Yarrowia lipolytica: one gene and its partner. The protein of the gene in region 2 interacts with the protein of the main gene of each other region in a biochemical or structural test. Links are inferred from orthologs where the notes say so. Each region holds a gene or a part of one and is shown on either strand. Other genes may lie near its edges. The genes, in order: YALI1_B17968g and YALI1_D30474g.

The links.
Region 1: the proteins of YALI1_D30474g (region 2) and YALI1_B17968g form a complex in vitro, tested with the Schizosaccharomyces pombe proteins (2 studies listed by BioGRID, with this or other methods). The link is inferred for Yarrowia lipolytica from reciprocal best matches to the Schizosaccharomyces pombe genes sim3 and cnp1.

What each region holds. Positions count from the first base shown.
Region 1 is NC_090771.1:1,790,487-1,805,291, forward strand, and holds YALI1_B17968g (uncharacterized protein), read left to right. Parts: upstream 1-6,336; coding exon 6,337-6,789; downstream 6,790-14,805. Other genes in the region: YALI1_B17908g (uncharacterized protein), read right to left, coding at 1-327, 378-476; YALI1_B17927g (uncharacterized protein), read left to right, coding at 2,268-4,964; YALI1_B17964g (uncharacterized protein), read right to left, coding at 5,134-5,982; YALI1_B17990g (uncharacterized protein), read right to left, coding at 7,185-8,603; YALI1_B17998g (uncharacterized protein), read right to left, coding at 9,221-9,386, 9,454-9,614; YALI1_B18012g (uncharacterized protein), read left to right, coding at 10,793-12,283; YALI1_B18069g (uncharacterized protein), read right to left, coding at 14,285-14,805. UniProt on the Schizosaccharomyces pombe protein: Histone H3-like nucleosomal protein that is specifically found in centromeric nucleosomes. Replaces conventional H3 in the nucleosome core of centromeric chromatin that serves as an assembly site for the inner kinetochore.
Region 2 is NC_090773.1:3,040,655-3,055,976, forward strand, and holds YALI1_D30474g (uncharacterized protein), read right to left. Parts: upstream 6,730-15,322; coding exon 5,614-6,729; downstream 1-5,613. Other genes in the region: YALI1_D30420g (uncharacterized protein), read left to right, coding at 1,317-3,043, 4,490-4,622; YALI1_D30459g (uncharacterized protein), read right to left, coding at 4,698-5,177; YALI1_D30482g (uncharacterized protein), read left to right, coding at 7,484-7,571, 7,617-8,011; YALI1_D30506g (uncharacterized protein), read left to right, coding at 9,928-9,952, 10,490-11,826; YALI1_D30526g (uncharacterized protein), read right to left, coding at 11,849-11,967, 12,215-12,312, 12,924-12,943; YALI1_D30540g (uncharacterized protein), read left to right, coding at 13,331-13,516, 14,016-14,040, 14,787-15,322. UniProt on the Schizosaccharomyces pombe protein: Histone H3 and H3-like CENP-A-specific chaperone. Promotes delivery and incorporation of CENP-A in centromeric chromatin, probably by escorting nascent CENP-A to CENP-A chromatin assembly factors.

The DNA of each region.
Region 1 (14,805 bases), on a different chromosome or scaffold from region 2:
AAAGATCTGTGAGCTGTTGATGGCCACCAGGTTCTCTCCGAAAGATCGCACACACACTAGCTTGTCCTTGGTGTCGCACTCCAGCTTGTACAGTAGCTTACCACGGAAGTAGACGCCAATACAGTTGTCCCAGGTGGCATAAACGTAGGGTCGGTGGAAATGAAGCGACTGGATGGGCGCGGGGGTCTGAGGAGAGGTTACAAACATGAGATGGAGCGTCGAAACATCGTAGATCTGAACGGCTCGGCCCACACTGCATGCAACCAGGAAGTTTCGGCCGAAAGATGACACGGAAATAGGTGTGGAGTTGGCAACATGTCCAATAGTCTGTGTTAGTTTGGTGATGTTGGGTGTAGTGATGGGGGTGTAGTACTCACTCTGAAAGGCGTGAAGATCTTAGAGGGGGTTCCGACAAGTCTGTCACGCACAGTGACCTCGTCAGACTCCACTCTTCGCTTTTTTTCAATCGCAGGCATCGTTTTAGAGCGGGTGTCGGAACGCTATGATTTGTGTGATGCAGCTTGGAAAAAAATATTTGGGTCGTGCATGCCAGAAGTTTATTTGGATGGGTCATAATCTGTACAGTATATGAGGATATGTAAGAAGTTAGGATGAGATGCAGAAATGATAGTAGAAGTATACCGAGAGTATTCTTCGTGTTCTTTTTTAGTGATAGTGGAAATAACTGGTTCTGTTTATATTTTCAAGTTGGGCGATAGAGTTCGGTTTCAAGTGAAGGGAAATTTTTGTTGGATTTTTAGTTGGTACTTGAAGGACTGTCTATGAAAAATGTACGTACGTACTATAAAAATAAGTACTACTTGTGGTGGTGTTTATAAAATACAATAAAATAAAATAAAATAAAATAATGCTCCTCTTTGTGCAGCTCTGTAGCATTGTTAGCATCAGTAGTGGACACTCGACTCTGAAACATCCGAAAGGCTTTATATATATAATATATATATATATATATATTATATAATATATATATTCTACAAGTAGCACATAGAGCACTCAAAGTACAAATAAGTACATACTGTATATCATACTGTATGGTACTTACAGTGCTCTGTCTCACTACAAGTGTGCTCGTAACAATTACTTCTAAGTAAGACGTGCAAAACTATATCGGAAGATCCAAATTGGAACGACTGGTGGAAACGATTAATAACAACGGGATGTGTGCGACCCAGCAACTTGAGATGCCGACACTGTCTATATAGAGCCCTCCTTCTACACCACTGTAACATTTGGCCTTGCGCTCACGATACGTCTGTCTTCTTTGCATGTGAGCGGCAACGAAACTTTGGCTCCACAATAGCGAGCACGTGGATAGATACAATGGAGTAGATTGAGGGGACTGTAAAGCCACTATTGTGGGGTATTATAGTAGGTGGGAGTTTATTGAATTGGAGACAGACTGAGAATTGGTCATTCTATATCTCAATCTGTCGATATCACCCAGTATATATCGGCTTAAGGTCTTCTGTGCTATGCTATATCAACCCACCAAACAAGGCGAAGCTGCTGCATAGACGATCGAGCTGTGGAGACGGTATCGTACAGTAGATAACCGGAAGAACTCAGATGGGGGTGGCTTGCCAAGAGTATACGTCACTCACTCATAAAACAAAAGAATAACTACAAGTGGTCTAATCAATTTTACCACTCCAAAAACAGCCAGAGAACATTTCCCAATCAGCTGCTTGTAGCTCCAGTCCAGTAGAATGGCTCGCTGCACCACGCTGCCTATGCATCTGGTGTTAGCCAAAACCATAAGCAGCGAACAGCACAAACGGGAGTATTAAAAGTTGTTTTACCAGAGACCGATGTCGGATCTTAAAAGGTCAATCGCTGTAAAACTTCCTTTGAAATCGATTTCTTTTTTTTTCATCTTTCTACCCCCTCTCCTTGTCATCCAAACTCCACCCCAGAATCATTGCTTCGATATTCCCAATTGTCGAGCGCAGCATTAGTCTGAACCCTAAAGCTGATCTCGTCGACATCGGGTCTACCTCTCACACATCTTCACACCACCCACCACACCCCCCCCCGTGGAAAAATGTTCAGAACCGTCTCCGACCGTGTCGGCCTCGGCCCCCGCATCCTCGTACGAGCCCTCGGACTCGTCCATCTCCACGTCGTCAATAAAGGCTGCTGTTGAGGGCCGAGCCCGACGGTCCTCTTCCTTCTCTAGCATCAGAGCTGCCTCTGGTACCCCCGACCTGTCCAACCTTCCCAAGATTGGCAAAATTGGTGTCTGTGCGATGGACGTCAAGGCCCGATCCAAGCCATGTCGGCACATTCTCAACAGGCTGCTGGACACGGGCGAATTTGAAACCGTTGTCTTTGGAGACAAGGTGATTTTGGACGAGCCCATTGAGAACTGGCCCACGTGTGACTTTCTCATTTCCTTCTTCTCATCCGGTTTTCCCCTCGAAAAGGCCATTTCCTACGTCAAGCTACGAAAACCCTTCCTCGTCAATGACCTCATTCTGCAAAAAGTGCTGTGGGACCGACGTATCGTGCTTGACCTGCTCGACTCGGCCAATGTTCAAACCCCTCCTCGTCTCATTTGCACCCGAGACGGAGGCGCAAAGGCCGACCCTGACCTGGCCAAGAAGCTGGCCGAACACAATGTCATCCTGACTCCCCAGCCCAAGTCCGAATGTCACATGGTTGACGAGGATACCGTCATGGTGGATGGCAAGACCATGACGAAGCCGTTCGTCGAGAAGCCCGTGGATGGAGAAGACCACAACATCTACGTCTACTACCCCAAGTCGTCGGGAGGAGGAGGTCGACGACTATTCCGAAAGGTCGGCAACAAGAGTTCAGAATTTGACCAGGATCTCTGTGAAGTCCGGATGGACGGCTCGTACATTTACGAGAAGTTTATGGACACCGAAAACAAGGAGGATGTCAAGGCGTACACTGTTGGAGCCCATTACTGTCACGCTGAGACCCGAAAGTCCCCCGTTGTCGACGGTATTGTCAGACGGAACACATATGGCAAGGAGCTGCGGTTTGTGACCAAGCTGACTGACGAGGAGATCAAGTTTGCCAGCAAGGTCTCTCAGACCTTTGAGCAGACTATTTGCGGTTTTGATCTGCTGCGTGCCCAAGGTGAGTCGTATGTCATTGATGTTAACGGTTTCTCTTTCGTCAAGGACAACCACGAATATTACGACAACTGCGCCCGAATTCTGCGACAGATCTTCCTGCAGGCTAAGCAGCAGCGAAACAAGGACCGAGCCATCGCTAACACTGCTCCTCAGCCCGAGAAGCACCAGTCCTGGGTTCTCAAGGGCCAGGCTATTGTGATTCGACACGCAGACCGAACCCCCAAGCAGAAGATCAAGGTCTCATTTAAGCATCCTCTCTTCATTGATCTACTGAAGGGTCACAAGGAGGAGGTTCTTTACCGAGAGAAGGATCGTCTGATGGAGGTGCTTGAGACTACTCGACGGGCCACAAGGGAGGCTACTGACGAGGATCCTCAGAAGATGGCTAACCTGATCATTGCTCTGGAGAAGAAGATGGATTTCCCCGGAACCAAGGTCCAGATCAAGCCCACAATCAATAAGAGCACCGGCGAGGTTGAGAAGGTGCAACTAGTGGCCAAGTGGGGAGGAGAACCCACTCATTCGGCTCGATACCAGGCCCAGGACATGGGTGACCAGATGCGTCAGGATCTCATGATTGTCAACAAGAACCTGCTCAAGAATGTCAAGTGTCTCTCATCTTCTGAACGACGAGTCATTGCCAGTGCCAAGATTTGGGCAGCTGCCTTCCTAGGTGTTGAGGAGGTCTCTGACGACTTCATTGTTGTTCGAAAGGGTCTTCTTGATGATTCCAACGCCGCCAAGGACCTCATGGACAAGGTCAAGAAGGAGCTTAAGCCTCTTCTGCGAAAGGGAACCCCACCTCCCCCTCATTTCACCTGGCCCGACAAGATTCCCGAGCCCTTCATTGTGTTGCAGCGGGTCGTCGAGCTCATGAAGTACCACCACAAGGTCATGGAGAGAAACTTCAACAACCACACTCCCGAGGAGGTTGAAGCCTTTCAGACTCGATGGTGTTGCCAGGAGACCCCTTTCTTGTTCCGAGAGCGATGGGATAAGCTTTTCTCCGAGTTCACTTCGCCCGACAAGGTCGACCCTTCTCGAATCTCCGAGCTATATGACGCTATGAAGTTCGATGCACTGCATAACCGACAGTTCCTCGAGCGAATCTTCAAGCCCGATGAGAGTGTCGAAATTGCTCCCCCTTCGTGCCACATCCCTAACGTCTCTGCTCCCGAGCTGTCTTCTCTTGGAAAGACTCCTCTTGTTACGCCTACAAGTGACGACGAAACCAAAACATCTTCCAACGGCAAGTCGCCCCAGCAGACTTTCTATGGCCCCCAGTACGTGCATCTTCGAGAGCTGTACCGACTGGCCAAGATTCTGTTTGACTTCATTTGTCCCCAGGAGTACGGTATCGAGGACAAGGAGAAGCTGGACATTGGTCTGCTGACGTGTCTGCCTCTGCTCAAGGAGATTCTGTCCGAGCTCAACGAGATGAAGCAGGCCGAGACTGGAGGTGTGATTGCTTACTTCACCAAGGAATCTCACATCTACACCCTGCTCAACATCATCTACGAGTCCGGCATCAACACCCGAATCGCCCGAAACGTGATTCCCGAGCTGGACTACCTAACCCAGATTGTTTTTGAGCTATATGAGAGTGTAGAGGCGGATGAGTATGGCGAGAAGAAGTACTCCATTCGACTGTCAATCTCGCCTGGATGCAACACCCAGTCTCCTCTGGATGTTCAGCTGGACTCAAAGCACTGCATCTCTTGTATTCCACGAGTCGGTCTCACTCGACATTTGGACCTGGATCTGGTCATTGGCAAGCTGCAGACTCGTTTCAACCGGGTGTCCATGCCTTCCAAGTTTATTCCCGTCAACATTTCTTAAACGAGCCTCAGAGTTGTTTTTTGCCCTTGAGCTTCTTATTACTTACGTTGATGTTAGATTAACTGTATATTAAGTGCATTTTTTATTGTGTGAGTGCTCCTGTGTAGTAATAAGTAAGATCGTATAAATAATTGACTCACTACATCTATGCCTTGTCTTCCTTCTTGCCTTACTCCTTCAGCGTCTTTTCCTTCTCTTCCCTCTCCTCCGCTGCAGCTGCCTTTCTCTCCTTTCGATGAATACCAAATCCATTGTACGCCACAGCCCAAGCTTCGCCCTTGGACAGTTTATCAGGAATCTCGATCATCTCCCACTCACACTTCAGGTCTTTTTCAGACTGTAGTATCGTGCTCAGAGCAGGGTACTTCTGCTTGAACTCGTCATCTCCAAACCGAGTGTCATAGGATCCGAGATAGTTGGCCACAATGAAGTCTGCATTGATGAAGAGCAGTTCATTGACGTTCACAGGTGCATGAGGTGCGTAGATGAAAGACTCTGTCGGCTGAAGTTTCACCTCGGAAATGCTTTTGGTCAGATCTTCGATGTCACCAGATTCTGCGGCTATGTCTGTTGTGTCTTCCATGTCAGCCTTTTGTGTATCTGATTTCACAGATTTTGTTTCCTCCTCTACATCCTTCGTTCTGAAATCAGGATCCCACATCCCTGTCACGGTCTTCATTCCTAACAGCTTGAGCATTTCCTCATCTCGAGCCGTGAACATAGGTTCTGTACAGACTACCTTGTCCAGAGGGATCTTGAGCTCTTCGGCCAGCAAAAGCAACAATACCAGCTGGTATCGCACTCCTTCGTCCTCTGCAGGCTTGCCCAATGCCAGACATTGGATATCTGCAAACTCCTTGGTGCTGTGTTTCTCTAGAGTCTGTTGGAGATGGGTTTGGAAGAAGTCGTAGAACTTGGACCGCTTGACATCTCGCTTGAGCTCTTCAAGTCCCTCCACAAGTTCCCTGGGTGTCTTTTCTACCCACGCCTTTCGTGGTCGTCGCCGGCTGTATCCCATGGTGTCTGCGGTGATGATCTCACTGATACACACAACTTTTTTGCATCACTCTGCATGGTCCAAATAGAGTTTTAGAATACCGTCCAAGAAGGGAATGGTGATGGAAGAAAAGTCCCTCTTCTTGAATGGGAACAGGATATGTAACTACTTAGTAAAACTCATTAATTTTGGATTTGTTACTTATTCTTTATAAGCTCTATAGCCTCCCCCCTTTCTCCCCCCAAAAAATATTAAAAAAATGCGCCCTTCTTCTATATCTAGACTGTCATGCATCCCACACCTTAACCTCCTAAATTACGCGACGCGTGCAAACTATCATCCTCGCTACCAACACACTTTGATACAAAACCACACATGGCACGGATATCTCTGGCCTCATCATCAGCCGGAGTGGCCGGGAAACCTCGAGGAGGAGGAGGTTTGCACCCCCTGGGTCAGACGAGAAAGACTCTGCCAGGCGAGAGACGAGATACGACACAGAAAATCACCAAGCCACGATATAAGCCAGGACAAAAGGCCCTCAAGGAGATCCGCAGGTACCAGCGTGGAACTGAGTTGCTGATTGCCAAACTACCGTTTGCGCGAGTCGTCCGAGAGGTGGCCCTCAATTATCTGGGCAGCGAGTACGGAAATTTGCAGTGGCAAAGTATGGCGCTGCTGGCACTACAAGAAGCGGCGGAAGCATTCCTTGTCCATTTGTTCGAAGATGTCAACCTGTGTGCTATCCATGCAAAACGTGTCACCATCATGCAAAAAGATATGCAGTTGGCAAGACGTATTCGAGGAGCATGGGGAGGTGCTGGTTAGTATGATAACCAGGTGAAGGACACTGTTTGGGGTTGCGCGGTTCTAGGAAGAGGAAACTGAGAGATGAGCATGCGCCTTTATTTATTTTATATGTACAATACATATTTTTTTTATATTTCTGTTGTTGTTGGTGAGACTACTTGTGCTGTCCTAACTGGTCCTTGAAAGGTTTGTTACAAACATCTTTGCTGTACCTGTACGGCACAACAGTGATCTTCAGCCCGTTTAAACACAATAATTTACCATCTATATACAGCCTTATACTGCCATCTAATCCTCCATGTAATGTTCTCATTATTTCCAATACCCAAAACACAACCAGTGTGCAGCTGGTGGTTCAGAATAATGTCATTAGGACAGCCAGTCGCTGCTCATTCCCAAGCCGGATCCTCAACTTAAACAATGAGGAACCAGAAGACCAGAATCAACATGATACCGACCGCAGCAGTGATGATACCGGCACCTGCTCGATCTCCTCCATGAATATCCAAAGGACTGGCATCGTCCTGGCTTGTTCCGAAGGGGTTGTCTCCCTGGGTTCCGGCAGATCCGTTACCCTTGGAGGTTCCTCCGGTGATATCGGTCAGAGGACCAGTGGAGTTGAGAATCTGGGTGTTGAGAATAACTTCCAGAGCTGACAGCTGCTCTCCGAGACCAATGTACGAGACGTTGTACTCGCCTGTGAGCCAGTTGATGGAGCAAGTATGTCCGTCAAAACCTCCAGAACAGGTTCGAGCAGCAGCATAGGCCGAAGGACGCAGGTAGGACAGGATAGAGCCAGCCAGAGAAGGCATCATTTGAGCGGTCTGGCCAAGAAGCGACGAGTAGATACCCTTGAAAGTTCTCTGATCCTGGTTACAGGTGATGGTGACCTGCTGACAGGCGATTTCCACCATGATGTTGCTCTGGTTGCCGCCAAAGAAAATTCCCTTCATGATATCAGCATTCCACAGCTGGTAGGTTCGGTTCATCCATACGGAGGCCTCGAGAGTGGCGTTAGTGCCGTTTCGAAGCATGGTCGCGTTGTAGATTGAGGCAGCTCCGGACATGTAGATACCGGAGTTATAGGTCCAGAGGTAGGGAGATCGATCAGAACAGTTGGGCAGATGGATACCATCGTAGACGTGGCCACCGTCGATGATCTTGACTTTTTCGGACCAGGTCCAGATCTTTTCGGCCCATTCGAGGTAGGTGGTGTTACCGGTGTATCTGTACAGTCGAGAAGCGAGGTTGAAAAGAGCTCCATTGGCAATAGCGTTCTTGTAGTCGTATCCAGAATTCCACTGGAAAATCTGCCAGTGCAGACCTCCATCGCACACTTGAGTGTCCCATCGGTCAGCCATGGAGTTAAAGGCACCCTGAGCAACGTACAGCCATCCGTAGTCGTCGTCGGGATTGGTGAAGTTTCGTTCAGCAGCTGTCATCATGGTCATGGCCCACACTCCCTGGTCATCGTTACCCTCGGAAGAAGAGTAGTTTCGCACCATGAGGTTGTACTTGTCTCCTCGCTGGGCCTTCATGGCCTCGAAGGTGATGTTGTTGAAGGTGGAGTTGCCAGTGATGTGCCAGTACTCGATCATGGCGTTCCAGGCGGCGCCAGCGTGCCACCAGTAGTAGGGAGGCACAAACATTCCAATGGTTCCTCCATAGGTGAAGCCCTGGTAGTAGTCCAAAAGACCCTCAGCAATGAGAGCAAGAGCCTTGTCGACGGTATCGGGCTTGTCGAGATCCAGAAAACTTAGATCAGCGTGCACGGGGGCCAGCAGCGTGGTCACCGCCAGCACCAGCGCCCAGATATAGGTTGAGGGTCTCATAGTGTGGTATATGGGATGAGGTGTGGAGATATCTTCACAACTCGAGAGAGGCCTTAACTCGCGCACTCATACAGCCCACCACCGAAGTTTGTCCTAACAAAGGTTTGCGTTAGTTTGCTGGGGTATAGACAGAGGATAGGGGTTTGTGTGTTTTTCTTCATGAGAGCATGTTTTCCAGTGGTTATACCGAAAGATGAATGTCTTATCAAGTTGTTTTTCTTCTGGCTTGTCAACCCACTTGTTCCTTATTCTTTCTCGATATGTACAGTGTGCCATATTGACCTGCACCAACCAACGTTTGTTTTCCATCTTTTTCCCACCTCGACTTGTTCCCGCTTTTCTCCACAAGCTTCAATTGTGGATCGAGCTTGAATCTATAAATAGGTTGGAGTGTCTACTGTGCGATGCTGTTATTGTACTTGTGTACTACTGGTTGCACTTGTTCAGACGATTATCTTCCCCCTCTCAGTCTTTGTCATATTACTAGCCTAAGATAAGGCATTAGACCATCACATCTGTCCGCAAGGCATTCGAGACGCCCATCACCTCTTTTTAGCCCGTTCACTTTTCGCTCCTTTCGTCAATAGTATCAAGGCTTTTCGTTACAAACCTGAGAATCAAAAGTTAGAGGTTACCGCGGAGTAGAGAAAAGCGATTATTGGTGGTATTAAGGATGGAAGAAGACCCTCACAAAAAAAGCGGTTGTGTGACTTGACGTAATCTCGCGTCTTGGCTCCGGATAGGGTGGGACATGTGAGTAAAACTTCTAGAACCGCGTCGTCGCTTTTCTAATGCCTTCGGTTTAAGACATTTCCAGAGGCGGAGTTATTTCGAGGGTTATTGAGTCTACGGTTTGAGCTTAGCAAGGGGATTGATTAGTAAGATATTAGTGAAAGAGGATGGGGGTTGCTTTTTACTGAAGCGATGAGGTGGTGTGTGGGGGTGTACAATGCCAACTACCTTTAGTTGGGTTTTAGAGAGAGAGAGAGAAAAGCGCTGTACATCAGTCATCTTCTAGTATAGTCAGTCTGAGAGGTGCTTCAGCTGAGAAATGGTCAAATTTATTGCCCATATGTCACAAAGAGGGAATATATTGAAAATGAAAATGTAATTGTCTGATCTCATATTGCACACTTTTTTTTATAATCTCAATTATGCATAATTGTTCTTTACTAACCTCTGAGATCAACTACAGGTACAGTAGCCACTGTTAGGGATGGGAGTAGCATATGTGTGTGTGTTACAGTAAGGGTCGGCAGAGACCCCTACACAGTCTTTGAATATGTATAGAGTCTAGTGTACGTAGTTATAATATATACATTGAAGCTGCAAAGATGATAATACATTATCACCGACTAGACTAGATCTCACCATTTCACGACCAAAAACTATGTAGAGATTCCCTTCCCGCTAACATCATAACCAGTATCCCTGATTTTATTTAATGTGCGGATAACAATGAAACAGAACTGTTTCATCCCTTTGGGGACAAGAGAAGACCATGTATCGGCACAAGTAATTACAATGAGTATTAATTTACGTCAATTTACTATCACTGATCACTACAGAGCCTTGTAACACTCATTTTATTCTTCCCCCTCTCTCCCTACTGTCATCCTCAAGGCAACCACTAATACGACAGATAAAGCAAGCCGAGGACAACGGAGACAAACGGAAAGACAGCGACGGTGTGTTTAAAGCTGAGACGCTAAACCAGAGCGTTTAGATCTAAAGCGGGTCCATGACCATAACGAGGGGGTGAAAGGTCCGACTAATAACCCGCTTTCTCGGAGCTCAAATAGACCGCCCTCTTCTCCTCCCACCTCAATCCGGGGAATGCATCCGTCTGCACGACAAGCATGAGCCTGGGGGTTTCTTGCACCGTTCCAACTATTTTTTGGTCTGCAGTTTGGGTCTAAAGTGCTGCATGGACGTGGACATTTTGACACGGGACGGGAGGATGATGTGAGGTGAAGGAAAAGGAATCTCGTTGGTGAGTAAACAAAATATATACAATTGAACTATTTTAAAACACGTGATGGACTCATAACCCCTCCCCTACCTCTTTATCGCCTCATTTCATCGCCCTTCTTAGCCGGCCCACGTGAAATAGAGTTTTCTGCTGCAGAGTGGGAGAAAAAATTGGAAGAGCTCAATACTCTCACCTCCACCACACCTCCGTCTTATCCATGCGTCGATCCAAAGTCTTCATCGGCAACTCCCACACGGAGCTGGGCGGGCTCATCTGCAACCGTCTCGGCGTGGAGCCTGCCCCTTGCACTCTCAAAAAGTTTTCCAACGGCGAAACGTCAGTGGAGATTGGAGTGTCTGTGCGAGACGAGGATGTGTACATTGTGCAGTCGGGCTCTCCTTCGGTCAACGATCATTTGATGGAGTTGCTGATTCTGATTTCGGGCTGCCGAACCGGTTCTGCTCACAAAATCACCGCCGTGATCCCCTCCTACCCTTACTCTAAGCAGTCCAAGATGAAGAAGCATCGAGGCGCTATCACTGCTCGAATGATTGCCAACCTGCTGACCATGGCCGGCGCCGACCATGTCATCACCATGGATCTGCACGCCAATCAGATGCAGGGATTCTTCACCGTGCCTGTCGACAACCTCCATGCGGGTCCTACTCTGGCCCAGTGGATTCGACACAATGTCCCCGACTACAAGGACGCGGTGGTGGTCTCCAAGAACCCCGGTGGTACCAAGCGAGTCACAGCGCTGGCCGACGCTCTCAAGATCAACTTCGCCATGATCCAGACTGACCGACGACGAAACCACAAGCCCTACTCGTCCATGCTCAACCTGGCCCAAGCCCCCATTTTCTCGGTTGCCTCGCCACGAAAGAAGGGCGCTCGAGGCGCTCCTCCTACCGTGCTGCCTGCACCAGGCTCTCCTCTCAACGGAACCGCTCGACGGGCATCCATGAAGCTGCAGGACGGACCTAACACCACTCATGGCACAGTTCCCTCGCGACGAAAGTCGTCAAACACCCGAAAGCCCTCTCAGCTCGGTGGCCGACGGCCGTCGCTCAATCCTGGTGAGGAGGGAGAAGACGATGTCTTTGACGACGAAGAGGACGAGGGAGTGCACATTGTGACTGCCCACGGTGTCCAGACCGCCCGAGTTGTCCAGGGCCACGTGGTGGGAGATGACTACCTTGAGGAAGAGTCCGAGTCCGAGGCCCAGTCTGAGGCCGAAACCCGACCTCGTCTTCAGCACACCGATTCGTCAGTCGACCTGAAACATGCGCTGGGAGGCTCTGTTGACGCTGAGGGCTCCGACGATGACGACGACGAGTTCCAGCGAGAAAAGCTCATCACGCTGGTCGGAGATGTGCGGGGCCGAACCGCCATCATTGTTGATGACATGATTGACCGGCACGGCTCTTTTGTTGCCGCCGCCGAGCACTGCAGACTCAATTGTGGTGCCAAGCGAGTGGTTGTGATTGCCACTCACGGCATCTTCAACGACGACTGTCTCGAGCAGCTGCAGGCCTGCCCCTGCATCGACTCGGTGGTTGTGACCAACACGTACCCCATACCTGTCGAACGTCGAATCGCCGCCACCAAGCTGGTGGTCATCGACGTGTCTGCCATCTTTGCCGAGTGCATGCGACGAAACCACCACGGAGAGAGCATTTCTGCACTCTTTGAGCAGATGACCATGTAGTCAGCCCACCTCTAATCAGCATAGCATATATATTTTTGAACTAGACGAGCCGAAAGTACGACACCTTTAGCCGATTCGAGCGTGGCTGATTCGACGTAGCGAGAGGATGCACTATACGGACAAACAGTCGGAAGTTGGGTGAGATGAGCTGGTTGCCAGAGGATAAACAAACAGACGCAGTCAGGAGCAATTCGAGAGCCTTGGGCTGTGCGCCCACTATAGACTGATGTCATGAAAGACCATCTGGAGGTCTGTTCTGATCCTTCTTTTGAAGAGAAACTACGCTTGATTACCAGCTTTGAGATGTCCACCTTTCCCATCATCACCTACAAACAATTAGTGATCATTGTGTTTGCAGGAGCGGAAGACTTTTACCAGAACTGTCAATAATATCACAACAGATTTTTCTGTCTTTTCATACTCGAAGTGGTCTGTCCAAACAAACTGTTAGATGAAATGGAGGTAGACGAAGTGATCTGACTCATAAGAAAAGCTGGTGATATATGCGTTCATTCTTCTTTTGACTCCTAAATGAGTTCCAAGTGGTTGGCTACAGTAGATGAGCAGCTACTTGTACATTGTTACAATATTGTACATACCGGTAATTAGCTACCTGTACAGATGGTTGAATGACCTGGGTCGCATCCTTTAATTCTATCAAACAAGTCATGTTAGCCTCAGCGCTACAAGTAGATCAAAAAGAGAAAGAATCACAGTGAATCGATACAGTACAAATACACAAATCATAAGATGTAAAAAAATTGCGAATTCTGTGGATCGAACACAGGACCTCCAGATTACTCTGACCGAAGAACGACTTCAGTCTGGCGCTCTCCCAACTGAGCTAAATCCGCAGACATGTTTTGTGGGACGTGTTCCACGCACTAGCTCAATATGTTAAAATAAGGTTCTGAGATTAAGAGTATGTATAATCCATGAATGAATGAATGTGATTAGAACATTCAAATCTTTGGCTCATCAGATGCACCCTGGTTTGATGGTTAATGGTATTGTGCGCCACGGAATATCATGGAATAGCTATCCTCATGAGTGTGAGTCTATCTAAATCAAATTAAATGATGCAGCAAAGTAATATCAAGTGATGATGATACTTCAATATACAAGTATACTGAACTACGGTTGCGGATACTTGTACTGTACATAGATAACAGTGGACTTGTCTCCACCGTTGAATAACACGCGTGGGTATTGTACTGCCGCATTTAAACATGACCTCGTCTCATTCCTCTGTAGCTGCAACCTCGATACGAGGGATCGGCGAAGTAGCACAGAGTTCACTTGACGATCTTTGAGCTTGAGATCTTCTGCTGTGGGCTACTTGTATTCAAGTACTGTAGCCAATTGGACCTTCCAGTGTCCAAAAAACGCATTGTACATATAACCCATCTACGAGTACCTACGGTACGAGCACAACACGAGTACATCTCTAATGTCTGACACCCGCTCATATACCCGAGACTGCATCGGGACAAGTGAGACACAACGCAACTAGCACGCCCAACGTGCAGGACATGTCTCAGCACTGCCTACTTGTATCGGCTCACACTTATACTGTATCCACTTCATTCTTTTTGCGATTATTCGGATATCGTGCATGATGGTTTTTGAAACAAAATGCGAGCAAGGAAAACATAAACAGAGGCTCTGGTCGAAAACAATGGAAACGTGCCAGCGCGGAAGCTGTTAAAGAAACAAAAGAGTGGCGGGAAAGTAGGCTGTGTCTTTCATTGTGCACTGCCCACAAGCTGTCGTTCTTGGCTGTTAGCTGCTACCCGAAGGCGCCATTTTTGCTTTGATATTGACAGGGCTGCTCTTGGCATTCAAGTGTACGTCAACTGTAGGATTCAAACTTGACGTAGAAATACAGTATGGAGGCGGTCGCTCATGTCTTCCAATTAACGAAGAATATATCTACAAATACAAGTACCTACGAATTGTTCATATCATAAATCGTTATCATAAATACCTGAAGCTCAGCGCTTAAACAAACCTGCTCTCGATGGTAGGTTTGGGGTCAGCAGCCGCACTGCTGATGGAGTTTCGCATGGTGAGATCGTAACTCGAGTCGTACGAGTCATGCTCCACCGTGTGGCCCTCCTTGATCTGATGTCCAAGGGCATCAAATTCCTCCTCGGCGTTCTTCTCGTTGTTTCGTAGGAAGTACACTCGGTCATCCTTAGCAGGGTGGTATCGAGTGTCGGGATTCTTGGAAAAGATGGCAATCAAACAGGTGACAATGGTGACAATCAGCAGGAAGAGCGAAAAGGCACAGTTGAGCACAAAGAAGATGACTCCCATGATCGATGCCACAGCGGGAGGCTGGTTGTAAATTCGAGAGAAGAAAGTGAAGAAGAAGGCGTTGAGCAGGTTCACCAGCGCAATGGTGATGTTGAGCACGTTGGTTCGCTTATCCATGTAGGGCTTTCGCCAGCACAGACAGGCAAAGTAGATGAGCTCGATGATAAAGATGGTCATGGCCTGGGTCTTTCCACTGCCCTGAG
Region 2 (15,322 bases):
GCGTCTCTGAGAGATTTATTCAACATCTGTCACATCGGTGATTGGGTAAAACGTCGCAGCTCTCTTGACTCCAGTTCCATACATTAGCCTGTCACTGTGGCTTATCTTAGACCCACAATTGGAGCCGTGCAAACTATATAATACGAGCAGAAAAGAGAGGTGTCGGTAGGTGGTCGGGTTTTATACCTCGCTATACTTAGAGCATTGTTATTCACCTAGTGGGTGAGATGAAAAACAACAAAACATGCCGTTTCAGCGTGCATCAACTTAGCTTTTTTGTGCTAACATAACCCCCACAGCACACTGTGTGTATGCTCGTGTTCAAAAGTCGACTCTGAGCTGTCGTTTTGTTCAACTCAGACATGGCACTGATGTCACCTCCGCATTAGGCTGCTTGTTTAGACGCCAAATTAGCACCTCGCTTAATTCTAATTAGGCGTTTTAGCAGATACACTTTGGGCAGTGCCAAAAAGTGGGTACCTGGAGATAACGGTTGTAGGTGGGGCTACCGTGGTTGGACTGGGATGGAAAGTGGATCTGAAAAATTTCTGAGCAGCGACGAATTTCAGACCTATCTCTTTGTGTCTGAATCGCATAAGTAACGCGCGGTTTATTACTGCATTTGGTAATATGAAAAGTGCCGTGTCTTGGCGTACGACAAGCAAGAACAGGAGGCGATAGAGTAGGATTTTGGAGCAGCTCGATGAAGGAAACGTCTTTAAAGAGTTGTTATTGTTGTTATTGCTGCTGCTGCTGTTGCTGTTGTTGCTGTTGTTGTCATTTAAAGAGTTGGCTACTTGGAAGCGTCAAAAAACAGGCACAAGGCCCTATTATACTAGTAGGCCTGTTCAATAATTTCGATCTAAATGTTTGAAACTCCTCCCCTGACACTTGGCGTCCAATCTATCTGCTCCATTCCTCTATCTATGCGGGGCATCTGTGGCTTCACTGATACCGCCAAGTGAGTGTTTGATGGCGATAGTGTTTGGCATGATGAAGTAGAAGGTGGAGAGATCAAGTCGATGGAAACCGACTTTAACGTGACAAAAATCACATTTTTCGGAAACTGGAGTTTTCTTTTCTACCTCTAAATTCCCAGATTACTTCCATCACCCGTTTCTGGATGTTCGTATGGACATGTTCTGCCCGATGTGCGAGATACTACTCTATATCATAGCTTAACTCTTATTACACCAAGAGCAGATCTCCCTTGGCACACGGCTCTGTGGCTGTCAGATAGCAACACGTAGTATATAGGCGGGTTGGGGGCATGGAAAAACGTCTATCGACTTTTTATCGTCTTGCCACTGTTCGTCATGACTCAACATCTAGGAGATCATCTGGAGGACCACCTGGAGCCTTCCAAAGAAGACGGTCTTTACTACAAGGACACTGACCAAAAGACTACCCACTCTATCGATAAAGACGACAAAAACGAAATTGAATTCACCGAGATTGAAACCACATCGATCATCTCCCAGGGATACTCTCAGACATGGGCCACCTACACCGATGAACATAACCCCGACGGGCTCAGAATTGCCACAGACGAAGATCGAGCGACTCTAAGACGAGTAGCTGCTCCAATTGGAGCCATGACTTACATGCTGTCTCTTGTTGAGTTCGCAGAGCGAGGCTCGTACTATGGTCTGACCAACGTCATTTCCAACTTTGTCCAGTTCCCTCTCCCTAAGGGCGGAAATGGCTGGGGAGCCACACCTGCCGGTTCTCAGTTGACAGCGGGAGCCCTAGATCAGGGTCTTCAAGTCGCCACGGCTCTGACTCTGGTTTTGCAGTTTTTATCCTACTTGACACCTCTTCTAGGAGCCTACCTTGCCGATTCCAAATATGGACGTTTCAAGACCATCTGGGCCGGTACGATCATCTGTGGAATTGGCCATATTGTGATTGTGATTGCCGGAATTCCCGGAATCATAGAGCACCAGAAAGCTGCTCTAGGAATCTTTATTGCTGGACTAATGATCTTTGCCTTTGGAACCGGTCTCTTCAAGCCCAACTTGCTTCCACTATTGCTGGAACAGTACAGAGAAGACAACAACTGGGTGAAGAAGATGCCCAATGGAGAACTCGTGGTGATTGACAAAGAATCGACTCTTCAACGAATGACTCTCGTCTACTACTGGTCTATCAACGTGGGAGCTTTTCTTGGTCTGGGAACTGCTTATGCCGAAAAAAGAATTGGTTTTTGGCTCGCTTTTCTGGTTCCCACTATTCTCTACTTCTTCCTCCCCCTGTTTCTCTGGATCATCAGAAACAGGGTTTACAAGGCTCCTGCTTCTGAAGATTCTCTCATTGCTGGATTCTTAGGAGTCATCTACCAAAGACTGTTCAAGAAGGACTCCACATACTCCGAGAAGTTTCAAACTGACGTCTGGGCCACTCTCAAAGCCACCCGCTTCTTCCTTTTCTTTCCAATCTACTTTATCAACGATGGAGGCATTGGAGCACTGTCTAATTCTCAGGGTAGTTCAATGATCACCAATGGAGTCCCCAACGATCTTCTCAACAACTTCAACCCTCTCACGATTATTGTGGCAGTACCGATAGTCAACTACGGACTATATCCTCTACTGAGACGCTACAAAATCAACTTTCGGGCCTCGTTCCGAATCTTTTTGGGCTTTATGCTGGCAGCTTTTTCTCCCATGATTGGAGCTATTCTTCAATGGAGAATCTACGAGACTTCCCCCTGTGGATACTATGCCACCCAATGTGAAGCTGGAGTAGCTCCAATCACCATCTGGTGGCAAGTCTTCCCTTATGTCTGTACTGCTTTGTCTGAGATCTTTGCCATCACTACCTCATACGAACTAGCTTACTCTCTGGCTCCAGAACATATGAGATCACTTGTTATGGCACTGCTACTGTTTATGTCTGCCTTCAGTACGGCTATTCAGACAGGTCTGACTCCGGCTTTGGTCGATCCGCATCTCATTTGGCCGTTTGTGGGCATCTCAGCAGCAGGAGGAGCCTTCGCCATCGCCTTTCTCTTTTGCTACTGGAACCTCGGAAAAGGTCAGAAGTTGTCAGTCTAGGAGGTGAATAATAATAGTAATTAATCATGTGTTATTGAGTCACGATAGTGGCATTCACGATATTAGTTGAAGATTCGTGTAGATGTTGTTTGGGCGTCAGTCAGCTTCAGGACAACTCTTCTAAAAGAGCATGCCACCTGACGATAAGCGAAACCTTTTTATACCGTAATATGGGCCACGTGATCCCACAGCAAGTGCCCGATTTTTTTTCACGTTACTGCAGCGTCGCTGGGGGTCGTACCTTGTTTAGCTCTCAACTAGAGCTAGGTAAATAGAAAAGGCACTGATTTCCGTAAGTGGCAACATCAGCAAATGTAGGCAGACTCGTAGTAAATATTATCTTATATTTTCATTTATAAGGGTACAGGTTTCACAATAAGACATTTCATACCGTCCTAAGATACCTGGAACACCGTTTTTGTACCCTAAGTGATGTTTCTTCTTAACTAATTTCTAACAAAATGGAAGGAATAGAGAACGCGACCGAAGAGCCTTACTAAAGCGGTTTTAAGTGAGAAACGCAGAAGGACTTGACTCAAATAGTTACTAAACATATTGGTTTTTGAAATGATTAAAATATTTTATTGCTTTTTTATTTTATTCAAGCGTTGAGTCATCATACATCACCAGGCACAGTCCAGAATTCTCAAAGTCGGCACATTCCTGAGGACGTGGCGTAATGGTAGCGCATTGGATTTCGGTTCTTCTGAACGACGTCCTCCAAAGGCTGCGGGTTCGAGTCCTGTCGTCCTCTTTTTTCCAGCAGGAGAGACGTTCTGGTGGTATTTCTGTCTTTGCCAGTTCGCTCGTATTCTACTTTTTTACTGTTCCTGCATAATCGAAACTCAGTTGAGATGAAAGGTAGGAGTTGTGAAAATGAGAGGGTGTCACGGGATCAAGGAATTTATGGTACTGTAAGATTGAGGAGGGCGAGGTGATTCTATTTACCTTTTTATATTCTTAATTGGAGCATTTCGGGTGGACTGGAGCTCTACTGTCTTACCCGTAAGTGGAACATCATGACAAGGACACTACAAAATGCCGAAGACTGAACCGATTCGAGCGGTCTAAAAGGAAACTTGATCTAGCAGTCTCTATAAGCAATTGTTATCACACAAGTTTCGTTGAGAAATGACTGTAACGATGACTTCTTGTAAAATCACTGTGGAACACCGGTAGTGTTCACTTGCTGCAGGTGCATAAGGCAAACAGGGAATACGAAACAATCATGTAGACAATGATAGTCACGTGGTCTGTACCAAAAAGACCGCCCGAGCGAGCTCTACAGGTGGATTAACTCGATTTCCCAGTAGCACAATATCTACTCATTACAGGCACCGTTGCTTGCACGCCAAAAGTGCTCCACTTCATGAAAACATTCTATTAAATACCTGTTATCCTTTTTCCTCGGCAGTTGGAGATGACACTGAGAGGCTGACAAAATGGATGTCACTGATCAACAGCTGTCTCCTCTCTTTCAATAGCTGTGACTGCGATGTATATTCTCGCAGCCTCAGTGTCCACAACTATCCAGACATTCATATGCTCAAGACTGTGCGCTCATGATAATGCGCTCAAGACGGCGCGCTCATCACTGTTCGCTCACCCCAATCATCGCAGTTCCAGCTTCGCTCAAACTGCTCATGATTGTTGCTGGACAATTTCCCCCTGCACCTTTTCATCAAACACATTCACTCCCTGCTTTAGCGCATCAACCAACAAACCCAGAGTGTTGTCATTAAAAGTCTTGCTCGTTCGCAGCTCGTCCATATCCTTGCCAAACTCGGAGGTGACCAGGTTCAGGTAAAACTTTTGAAACTCGGGGTTGGCTGAGTCAGCTGGAAGAGATTGCAGTTCTGCTGGGATGTCCATAGTCTGGGCCGAAGCGGCAGCAGCAGCATCATCTTTGTCAAACTCCATCATTTCGACGTCACCTTCGTCGATTACGTGATTTGTAGTGTCTTCGTTGTCTTCATTATCGTCTTCTTCCGCCCGGTCAGATTCACTGTCACTGGAGTCGGAGTCCGAAACTTCGGCGGTTCGGGCCTTCTTTCGCCGCCGTTTCTTGGGTTCGTCGCTTTTCACGGCCTTGTTGTTTCTCGAGTCGCTTTTGGCCGACATGTTGTGCTGAGACGAATGGGTAGTGCGAGATGTGAAAATATATTCTGCAACGTGGTTTCATGCATGTAATATGCGGGTGGTGCATTTAAGAAATATACCAAGTAATGTGACCGAAGCTAACAAAGCCTAACTATTGTTGGAGTCCTTGCTTGCTAGGTGATTTTAGGAAAACAAAAAAGAGGAAAACAAAACTAAAAGGAGACAAATAACAATCGGATTGGAAAATAACTCCATTAGAGCCATGTATCCATGTGACAATGGTGCTGATTTCTTCGCTAACCAAAACTGTGCAATCAAGTGACGGCAGAAAACCCCAATACACGAAATCAACAGGGGTGTCTTAGGCTCTTAGTCGACTACAATCCAACTCGATTCAAAACAATACAATATTAATTATACACCAGTAGCGACCATCCCATTGGTTTCTCTCCTACTCCTACTCTTTCTTCTCTTCAGTCTCCTCAGCAGCCTTCTCCTCCACCTTGGCTTTCTTCTCTCCACTCTGTTCATCCTCTACGGCCACAGGAGCAACTCGCTTTGGGGCCTTCTTTCGAACAGCCAATCCAGACAGGTCGTTAACCTGCTTCTCTCCTGATCCGCCGACACCTGCAGCAGCCATAATGTTCTTGACAACATCATCAGAAGAGTTACCCAGAATACCTTCCATGACGGCCTGTTTCTTGGCATCGAAGTCAGCCTGACCCTTGGCAATGGCCTTGAGATCTTTGAGCCGAATCTCCAAATCAGACACTAGATCGTCGTCTTTCTCGCCAGTCATGGCAATTCGCTTCTTCACCGAGTCAATTGCCAGAATCATCTGATCCACGGCCTTTTGCTTGTTGGCCGAGTCCTCGGGACAAAACTCGAGGGCCAGAGAGTACTTGTAATGAGCCTCACTCATGACAGTTGATTGGAACTCATTGTGTTTATCCTTGAGCTCTACCGACCGTCCCAGATCTACCACGGCCTGGTTGAAGTTCTCAGACTCGAGAGAAATCTCGCCCAGGATGTCGTACACCTCGGCCAGCTGTTTCTCAATCTCTGTGATCCGCTCCGCTGAAACCCCCTCCTCGGCAAGTTCATCTTCAAACAACTTTCTGGCCAGATCAGTGACTTCCCAAGCCACCTCAAAATCAGTCTGAGGAGCTTCCTCATCTTCTCCTTCCTCTTCTGCCTCCCCCGCATCACCTTCTTCAGCCTTTTCCTTTCCCTTGCTTTCAGAAACCTCCTCTTCGACCTCTTCAACTTCTTCGACCTCCTCTGGAGCCTCTTCAAACTGAAAAGCTCCAGAAGACTTCACAGGAACCTCAACTTCCTCGCCAGTAGTCTCTCCGGGGTTTTCTCCGCCGCCAAGAACATTGGAAGAACTCACTCCGGCCTGGAAAAGAGCCCGACCGTAAAGAAACAGTAAATGACCATCTTCCTTGCCAGTCTCGTCACTGTACTTCTCACACGCCTGGCCCAGAGTCTCGGTGGCGCTCTCGTAGTGCTTCAGAGCGTATGCCTTGGAGCCCAGAGCCACCAATTGCTCGATTTCAGCGCTATAGGTCATGTTGTGGTGTTTGTAGTGGTGTGTAGAATGTATAGTACAGTATTCCAACAGAAATTTATCGTGTAGAGACGCGTCCTTAATGGAACTTTAAATGGTGCAGTCGACGTCGAGGTCACGGCTTGTTCTGCTTAGTAACAAAAGACTTGCTACCAATCAAAAGTAGCTGCCTAACTGACCACGTGACGTGGTCGCTTTCTAGTCATAATCTGATCGTCATCTGATTTCCCCAACAGGCATGTTCTGGGTGAAGTCTACTCAGGCAGCACCTACTACCGAATGGGACACTCCCTAAACGGTCTCTTGGGATTTTATCCCGAATTGGAAACTTTACCAAGGTAACTTGAAGGGGTGAAAACGTGATCCAGAAGAGATATCAAAATTTTGAGACCACTTTCCTACTGAAATATAGGCATTGTGATCACAACAGAATACCTCGCTTAGCTCTAGTATAGCTGGAGGTTGAGTTAGCACTAAATTTAGGTAAACTTCCATTGTATGTCACATAATCCAGAGGAACCGTCTGAGGAGTGTCGAAAGGGTTTCACATGAGCGTTTCTTCCACAGCAGCTAGAGAGAAAATGAGGCACATAGGCGTTTTAGGTGAATCCTTATATAATATCAATACAAATGTTACTATCTCTTCTCTATCTTTCATCCATTGTTCGTGTGTGAGCTAGGTTACTACAAGTAGCTGTGACTCCTAAGGAACCCTCTCAGCTTGCCTTGCAGTGATATTGGCGCACACCAAACATATATGCGGACTCGTCGCGGTCATACTACCATAAAAAAGTGTCTCCCGATTGTCTCCCAGTCCACGCACACGCATCGCAGAAGCCCGTCAAGTTTCATAAGCTTCGTTTTGTCTCGTCAACTGGAGCCCGTTTGAGGAGAGTCAAAAGACTTACCTTCTAATCCACCTCCAAGAGCTCCTACCGACAATCCGAAGGCACCATTGTACTCCCCACACCAACATTACATACCGACACTCTACCGTTTTGAACTGGCCGTACGGACTAACTCATTTGAAAGATATAATACCAGATGTTCCTCGGGAGAAACGCCTACAACCAAAACATCATGTTGTGTGTTCAACACCACAGCAGTCGCGATGTTTCTGGCGCCTCTCAACATCACCGCGTTTGTTGTTCATGACACTCCAGGCGAGAACGTTGAGTACATTTTCCACGAAACCAGCGAGCAGTGCACCGAGCCGAGAGACAGGGTCCGACCGTGTCTCGTCCACTACAGAGGCCAGGATACCACCTGGTTCACCTCCTATTGAAGCGCTCGTGACGACTATGAATTCATGAGGCCGGCCTCAGGTCTAATTTTACGAGATTGAAGATCAGCGGTTGACTGACCATCCTAGACACGGTTAGGTTGAGCAGGCGTAAATGAGACGTCTATCGACTACAAACAGATTGCGAGCTCTTGTTGTTGTTGCGTATGCCGACAGGATCTCAACCAATTGGTTGAAACCTGTAAGGCCAACAATTCCCAACCCTTGAGGCATACATCTGGCTACATCTAGAAGGACACGAGACAGATGAATGGTCAGGGAGAAGAAGCCAACCGCGCTGAAACCGCGGTACATGCTCACGAAGATGTTTGGTACAACAAAAGGCCATGCTCATCTTATTGGTTAAGAGACAGCAATGGAGAAGATGTTCCCTCAGGCAGTGGTTTTAGGGGAGCGTACAGCCAGCCAAGTATTGTCCTATGTGAGCTACTTGTAGTACATACTGTACTACTGTGTGTATGTACTGTACTTAACTGCTGTACGCAACTGTTGTTCATATAGAGAGTTCAGTGACTGGCGCTGAGTTCACTCTTTACCGAAGTGGGATTTCGACTACACTACATTAGGTACTGTTGTACATACTTGGGATTTAGTTGAAGTCTCCGCAGAGTATTGCATTCTATTATTCTACACCATTTTGTTACATCCCACTTGATTCAACTCACTTGATACACCCACTGAGATTGTCCATACTCGTCTCACTCGAATATCAACCATATTCGACTTCTAATCACAGCAATTGGACCCTGCAACTCTTTGCGGTCATTTTAGTAACTCTTGATGTTTCCCTTGGTATCGCTTCCTTTCTACTTCTGCATGTGTATCTGTTGTTAACTGATTCAGCACATCATGTTGAGCTCGTATAGTTGGTTGTATAGCGAGATGAACGCCAATTGTCTGATGCACAATGATATACGACCAAGTGGTCACCTCTTTGAACGCTTCTCTTTTCAACCAGTCTCTTCGTCCTCTTCTCAGCCTCCCACCTACTACTACAAGTACCCCCTTACCCCTTTGGAGAGCTCATTTCCAGCTCCTCAATCCCAGACAAGTCATTCCACAGTCCAACAGCTCTCGGAGTGTGTAATTAAAAAAGCACACTAAGCCTGAATCAGTGTGATCTATCTACAAGTAGACCGAGCCCTAGACTGAGTATGGAGCACGTGATTACCTACAACAGTGACTAACCACAATAGCGACTCAGTGGTTGCACGTCCTCCAAAGTCATTCTCGCACAGCTGAGCCCCACATGTTCATCTTTGACATCGATTAGTCAGCTTTCTTAGCCACCTCATAGCTCACCCTGAAACATAACCCCTATTAGCTTAATAGCAGTCTAATGTGAAACACGAACCCTGCACGAGATTCATGACAGATGTGAAAGACACTTCCAGAGACAGTATAGGTAATCCAAGACTATTGTTGGATTCTGCTAGGCCCAAAAAATAGATCCCCGCTTTCAAATTCGCCATTGGCCCACTTTTGCGAAATGTGCCCTATGGCTGTCAACACCACTATAAGAGAGGGTAATGGGAGAGAGATACATGTGAAGTTAGTTAATTGCTGCGGGGATGACATCATCACGGGACCCTCCTTTGTAGCACGTGTATTCGGCCTCCCCGTTCAGTCACGTGCCTCTGTTTCACACCCGCACACCCATCTCCATACTCATCTCTCGCCCCCCTATCCTCCCCTGCATTCTTCATTCAACCGGTCAAAGTCTGTTTTGCAGGTAGCCCCGTGTGAGTCTAATAACGTCAAGGTTTGGGACAGACACGTACGAACTAACCTAACCACCTCACAGACACCACCACGCACCCAATCTCTCATCATCACATCTTGTGAGTCCTTTCACCTTTTGTAAGAGCGACACACACACAGACAACCGACATTTCGCCATGGCTGAAATGATGAGTGATATCGGTGAGTATAGAGCGGGAGGAGGGTTTCTCGAGGGCCTTGCACCCCTATGACTGGGTCAGGGGGTGAACACAGACACAGACACAGACACAGAGCCAGAAGAGGTTCCGTGTGAAGAACACAGAAGAGGGGCCGGTGGACACAGACGATAGCAACAGCAACAGTTAAACTGGACACGTGACATTGACGATATCAGTTTTGATGCGACGTCTTTGTGTCTGTGTGACGATGATGTGAGGAGCAGGTCGGTGGAAGAAGAGTTGGGATGGCGGTACAACATAAAACTAGCAATTGAGAAAACGCGTCACCAGACCTGCTCCCCAACTCCTCACACTGCACAACGCGATTTATGTCACCCAATGCCTTTTTCACCAGGTCAGGGAATGACATGAGATGACTCCACCTCCAGCCGCGATGGACGCGTGATTTGGTGTATTATGGATCTCATGTAAACGTACGCAACCAGCGAACTATTCTCCTGCCTTTGATCGCGCTCCTCCCTCGACTGCACCCCTAAACACATTTTCATGGCTAACCCAGAACCTATCCACGACGAGGCCAAGGTCGCGGAGCAGGCTCCCTCCATTGCGCCACTGGGACTGGAGCCCACCACAGACAAGTCGCTCGGCAGCAACGCTGCGGTCTCGTCGGCCCTGCCTGAGACCAACATCATCCGCAAGAAGCTGAGCGGCTACGTGGGTTTCGCCAACCTGCCCAACCAGTGGCACCGAAAGTCTATCAAGAAAGGCTTCAACCTCAACGTGCTCATTGTTGGCGAGTCCGGTCTCGGCAAGTCCACGCTGGTGAGCACGCTCTTCAACAACGACCTGTATCCCCCCAAACCGCGCAAGGACCCTGCCGCGGAGCCTCCCAAGACTGTGGAGATCCAGTCGGTGACCAAGGACATTGAGGAGAACGACGTGCGCCTGCACCTGACCGTGATCGACACGCCCGGCTTCGGCGACTTTGTCAACAACAGTGACTCGTGGAAGACGATTGTGGACTACATTGACAAGCGGTTCGACAACTACCTGGACGCCGAGAACCGGGTGAACCGAACGTCCATCAACGACACGCGGATCCACGCCTGCGTCTACTTTATCCAGCCCACGGGCCACTCGCTCAAGCCCCTGGACATCACCGTGATGAAGAAGCTGCACAAGAAGGTGAACCTGATCCCTGTGATTGCCAAGTCGGACACGCTGACCGACGAGGAGATTGAGAACTTCAAGCGGCGGATTCTGGCCGACATCCGGCACCAGGAGATTGACATCTTTGCTCCTCCGCAGTACGAGAACGACGACGCCGAGTCCGTCACCGAGACGCACGAGATCATGTCCAAGGTGCCCTTTGCCATTGTGGGCTCCACCCAGCAGGTGCAGACCGCCGACGGCCGAACCGTGCGGGGCCGGTCCTACCCCTGGGGAGTGATTGAGGTGGACAACGAGGAGCACTGCGACTTTGTCAAGCTGCGTCAGCTGCTGGTGCGAAACTACCTCGAGGAGCTGCGGGAGAAGACGGCCCACACACTGTACGAAAACTACCGAACTGAGAAGCTGTCGTCGCTGGGCATCCAGCAGGACCACTCTGTGTTCCGGGAGGTGAACCCCGCGCTGCGCCAGGAGGAGGAGCGAACACAGCACGACGCCAAGCTGGCCAAGATGGAGGCCGAGATGAAGTCTGTGTTCCAGCAAAAGGTTGCCGAGAAGGAGCAGAAGCTGAAGCGGTCTGAGGCCGAGCTGTTTGCCCGACACAAGGAGATGAAGGACCAGCTGGAGAAGCAGAGGCTGGAGCTGGAGGAGCGCAAGGCGCGGCTCGAGGCCGGTCGAAACACCCAGGACGACCGGAAGCCCAAGAAGGGTTTCCTTCGGTCGTAGGCACCCGGCTAATTTTGGCCAGTTAAGTTAATGGGGAGTTGAGAAGATGCTTAATGCTTGGTTTTTTCGAGAGATATAAAGGTAAATGGATGGGTAACGTAACGCGGAGTAGAGTGGCTGAAGGTTGCGAACGACCAACCACTGGTAGTAGCGTATTTGATGCACAGATAAAAGCACCATACTCCATGGTTAAGAGTGAGACACCAGCAATGGGGATGAAGCCTTGAGGTAAGCAAAGGCTTAAGACGTGCTCTTTTCTTGTGTGTTAATGAAAGCAATAGGGTGGTACAAGGGAGCATACAAGTGCGAGTATGTTACTGTATGACGATGTTACTGTATATGGAGTTGTAGTCATACAGTTATATGTAGCATCTGGGCCATGATATACGGACCATTCGCACAAGGAAGTTAGAGCCGAATTGACCTTGGAAGATCTCTCGAACGGGTAACTGAGGCAGCCGTGCGAGCGTAGAATCTGAGAGGAGACTGGGGCATATTGTGTGACGATGGCTGCTCCAGTGTGTACAGTATCGATACGTGCTACTTAGCTCTATTGATAGCTTGTGTGGAAAGTGTATCTTCTGTTAGATGATGAACTATGGCTTGACTACTTGTAGTATTTTAGCCATGGGTGGGTTGAGTTTGTGATAGTAGCAGTAGGAATGAGAGTATCTCAAGCGTCTTTGACGTTTATAAGTCATTTGTTCAATATCTGGTCGTATGGTATAGACAGACATACTTGTAGATGGCTTACTCAGTTGTATACAGTATGTACTATAGGACAAACACCTGGAAGACGGTTCAACACCACATAGGGTGGTTAGAATGTTTTATTTTCTATGTAGGGTACGTTGGATATCTCTTGATTTCCTTTTCTTCATCTCGTGTACATGGTGGTATTGATTTTTCGTATTTTTTCCGAGATTGTTAGGATTTTTCCTTTGACGTTTGAAAAATCCTTGAAATTCGCAAGAAATTCAAAACTGCCGTGGGCAACGCATTTCGGTTCAAATTGAACTTCTTTTTTTTACTGGCCTGGCGCCGATACCGCCTCATTTCCCTTCCACCACCTCGTTTGTTGCTCTTGGCCCACTCACGTTGCTTTCACGCTGGTCATCGCGTGAGCAATGCACAACTCCATTGTTTCAAATAGACTCACAATGGCGCTAATATAACCGAACCACCAGTGGAGCATGTCAAAAGCGGGATTAAGTGGCGACTAAACGAGCGGGGAACCGCTGCGGCGGGGCGGGGCAGTGACTTACCGAGAAGATATTTAGCCACACGGCCAAAAAAATGCCGTCCTCCAATCGCATCCTGTCTACTTGGGCTTGTCTTGTCACTTTTCATCGTTGCTCTCGCTTCTTGCTGCACTTCCTTGCTACAGCTGGAACCTTGTTTTTTGCTACTACGGTGCATATGGTCCCAAGAGAGTCGCCGCCTTCTTCATATCGTCTTTGAAACCAACCCTCTTGACATCTGACATCACCACGGAAATCGCAAAATGTCCACTCCTGTCTCTGAGCCCCTTCATGCCACTGGCCACGCCGCCGGCACCACCGCCACTGGAGCCACTCCTACCGGCACTGCCGGTACCACCACTTCTGCTGGACACACCAGTGCCACCCCCGGCGCTTCTTCCACCGGCCCCAAGAAGGGTTTTGTGCAGGCTCTTGAGCCTCTGTTCAAGGTGAGTACGAACGTGTGCCATTTACGGGTAATTGAGCTCAACTGCGAGCGTTAGCGAGCAGCTCTAAGAAGAATTTAACAGGCAATGAGTCGTGGTGGAATGACTCCGACCGGCATTGAGTCGTGGAATTGAATGACTCCGACCGGCATTGAGTCGTGGTTATTGAATGACTCCGACCGGCATTGAGTCGTTGGCCATTGAATAAGCATTGCAACCACTCGGTTCTAGTGTCGGCTGTTTTGAATGGCCCGTGTAAAGCACAGTGAACTTCCACGGTCGTTGCTGCTTGTGCAATTGAGCTATCACAAGACGGGGCCAGCATTGAGAAATTGATCAATGTGCAAATGAGCGCTAGGAAGCTGCTGCTGCCCGAGATCTTCTGCTAAATGCATGCTAGTCAAACGCTCCCTCAGTTCTGCTCTGTCGTCAGCCATTGCTCGGACCCGGTTTCCAGCTCAATCACAACAGTGTCGCCACCCTCAATTACATACTAACACAGACCCCCCAGTTCATCTGGTTTGTCGGTAAGTACTAACCCACTATTTCGGTGGATTTCTCAATGAAGCCCTTATCTCCGAGCACATCTCCGAGACCAACCTGTAGGCGATAAGGATGAAAAATGTTTCTGGGAGTGACAGGTGAAATGGAAGCACGATGCGACTGTTTTCTGTACGGTTGTGGTGTTGTTCTGTGCTACGTTCTGCTGTGTTGTCTTGTGTGTTTTGCCGGCCTACGAGGTTGCCCAATGGCATAACATCACCAACTTAACAGGAGCATCTTAGCACAAGCGGCTTAACACGGGCCGCCTAACACGAGCAGAACTGTACGATGAACTTCAACTGTCCAGATCTTCAGTCTGTATTTTTTTTTCCCCCCACCGTTGATCAACATGCACTATCCATGTACTGTCACATGACGACGAAGAACAAGGAAGTGAGGTGCAGATAGGAAAAAGATAAAGGACTGTGGCTACGTTCCAGTTTCTTGTCATCGTCACTAATCGACTTCCATCTCATTTTTCTTCTCTTCTCCGACATGGCCTTGCATGGCTTGACCATTTGACATGCGCCTTCCGTGACCCAAACGACACAGCACAGAGCCCTGTGACGATTCCTACAACAGCCGATATTAGCACATATCTCAGCTCTCAATGCAATTGTCACATGAGTCGTCTTGATTCTTGCTCGAGAGCTGTTGCTGAACTTTTGTCCACTCGTTGCGCGCTCATTCATTATGCTACGCATAGTTTCGTTTACTCCCACTAACTCAGGCCACCTTCTCGTCCTCGTCGGATGCTTTTTCTACGTCCTTGCCACCCTCCCCTTCTTTCGAGTTGGCAAGTTCTCCATCTTCTGGTACCGAGAAATTTTCCTCTCTGTCATCGCCACCTTTGGAATCATCATCTTCGAGACCTACAAGGGCAAGCCTCTGAACCCCCAGGCTCTCGCCCGAGACGACAACGTCACCTACCTTCTGGTTGCCTTCCTGTGGCTCGTCAGCAAGCCCACCTACGGCACCTTCCTGCCCTTTGCCATTTTCTCTCTCTTCCATGTTCTGACCTACGTGCGAGGCTTCATTCTGCCTGCCCTCGGCTACCCCGGCAACGCTGGCCTCTCTCTCCAGATTGACAACTTTGTCAAGACCTACAACGACAAGTTCATGTTCACCGCTGCCAACTTGGAGTTCATGATGTTCTTGGGTCTGATTATCAAGGCCATCACCTTCCAGCGAGGCTCTTGGATCAAGCTCATCATCTTCTTTGTCTTCCTGCGTCTGCGATACGCCCAGTCTCTGTTCACCCGATCC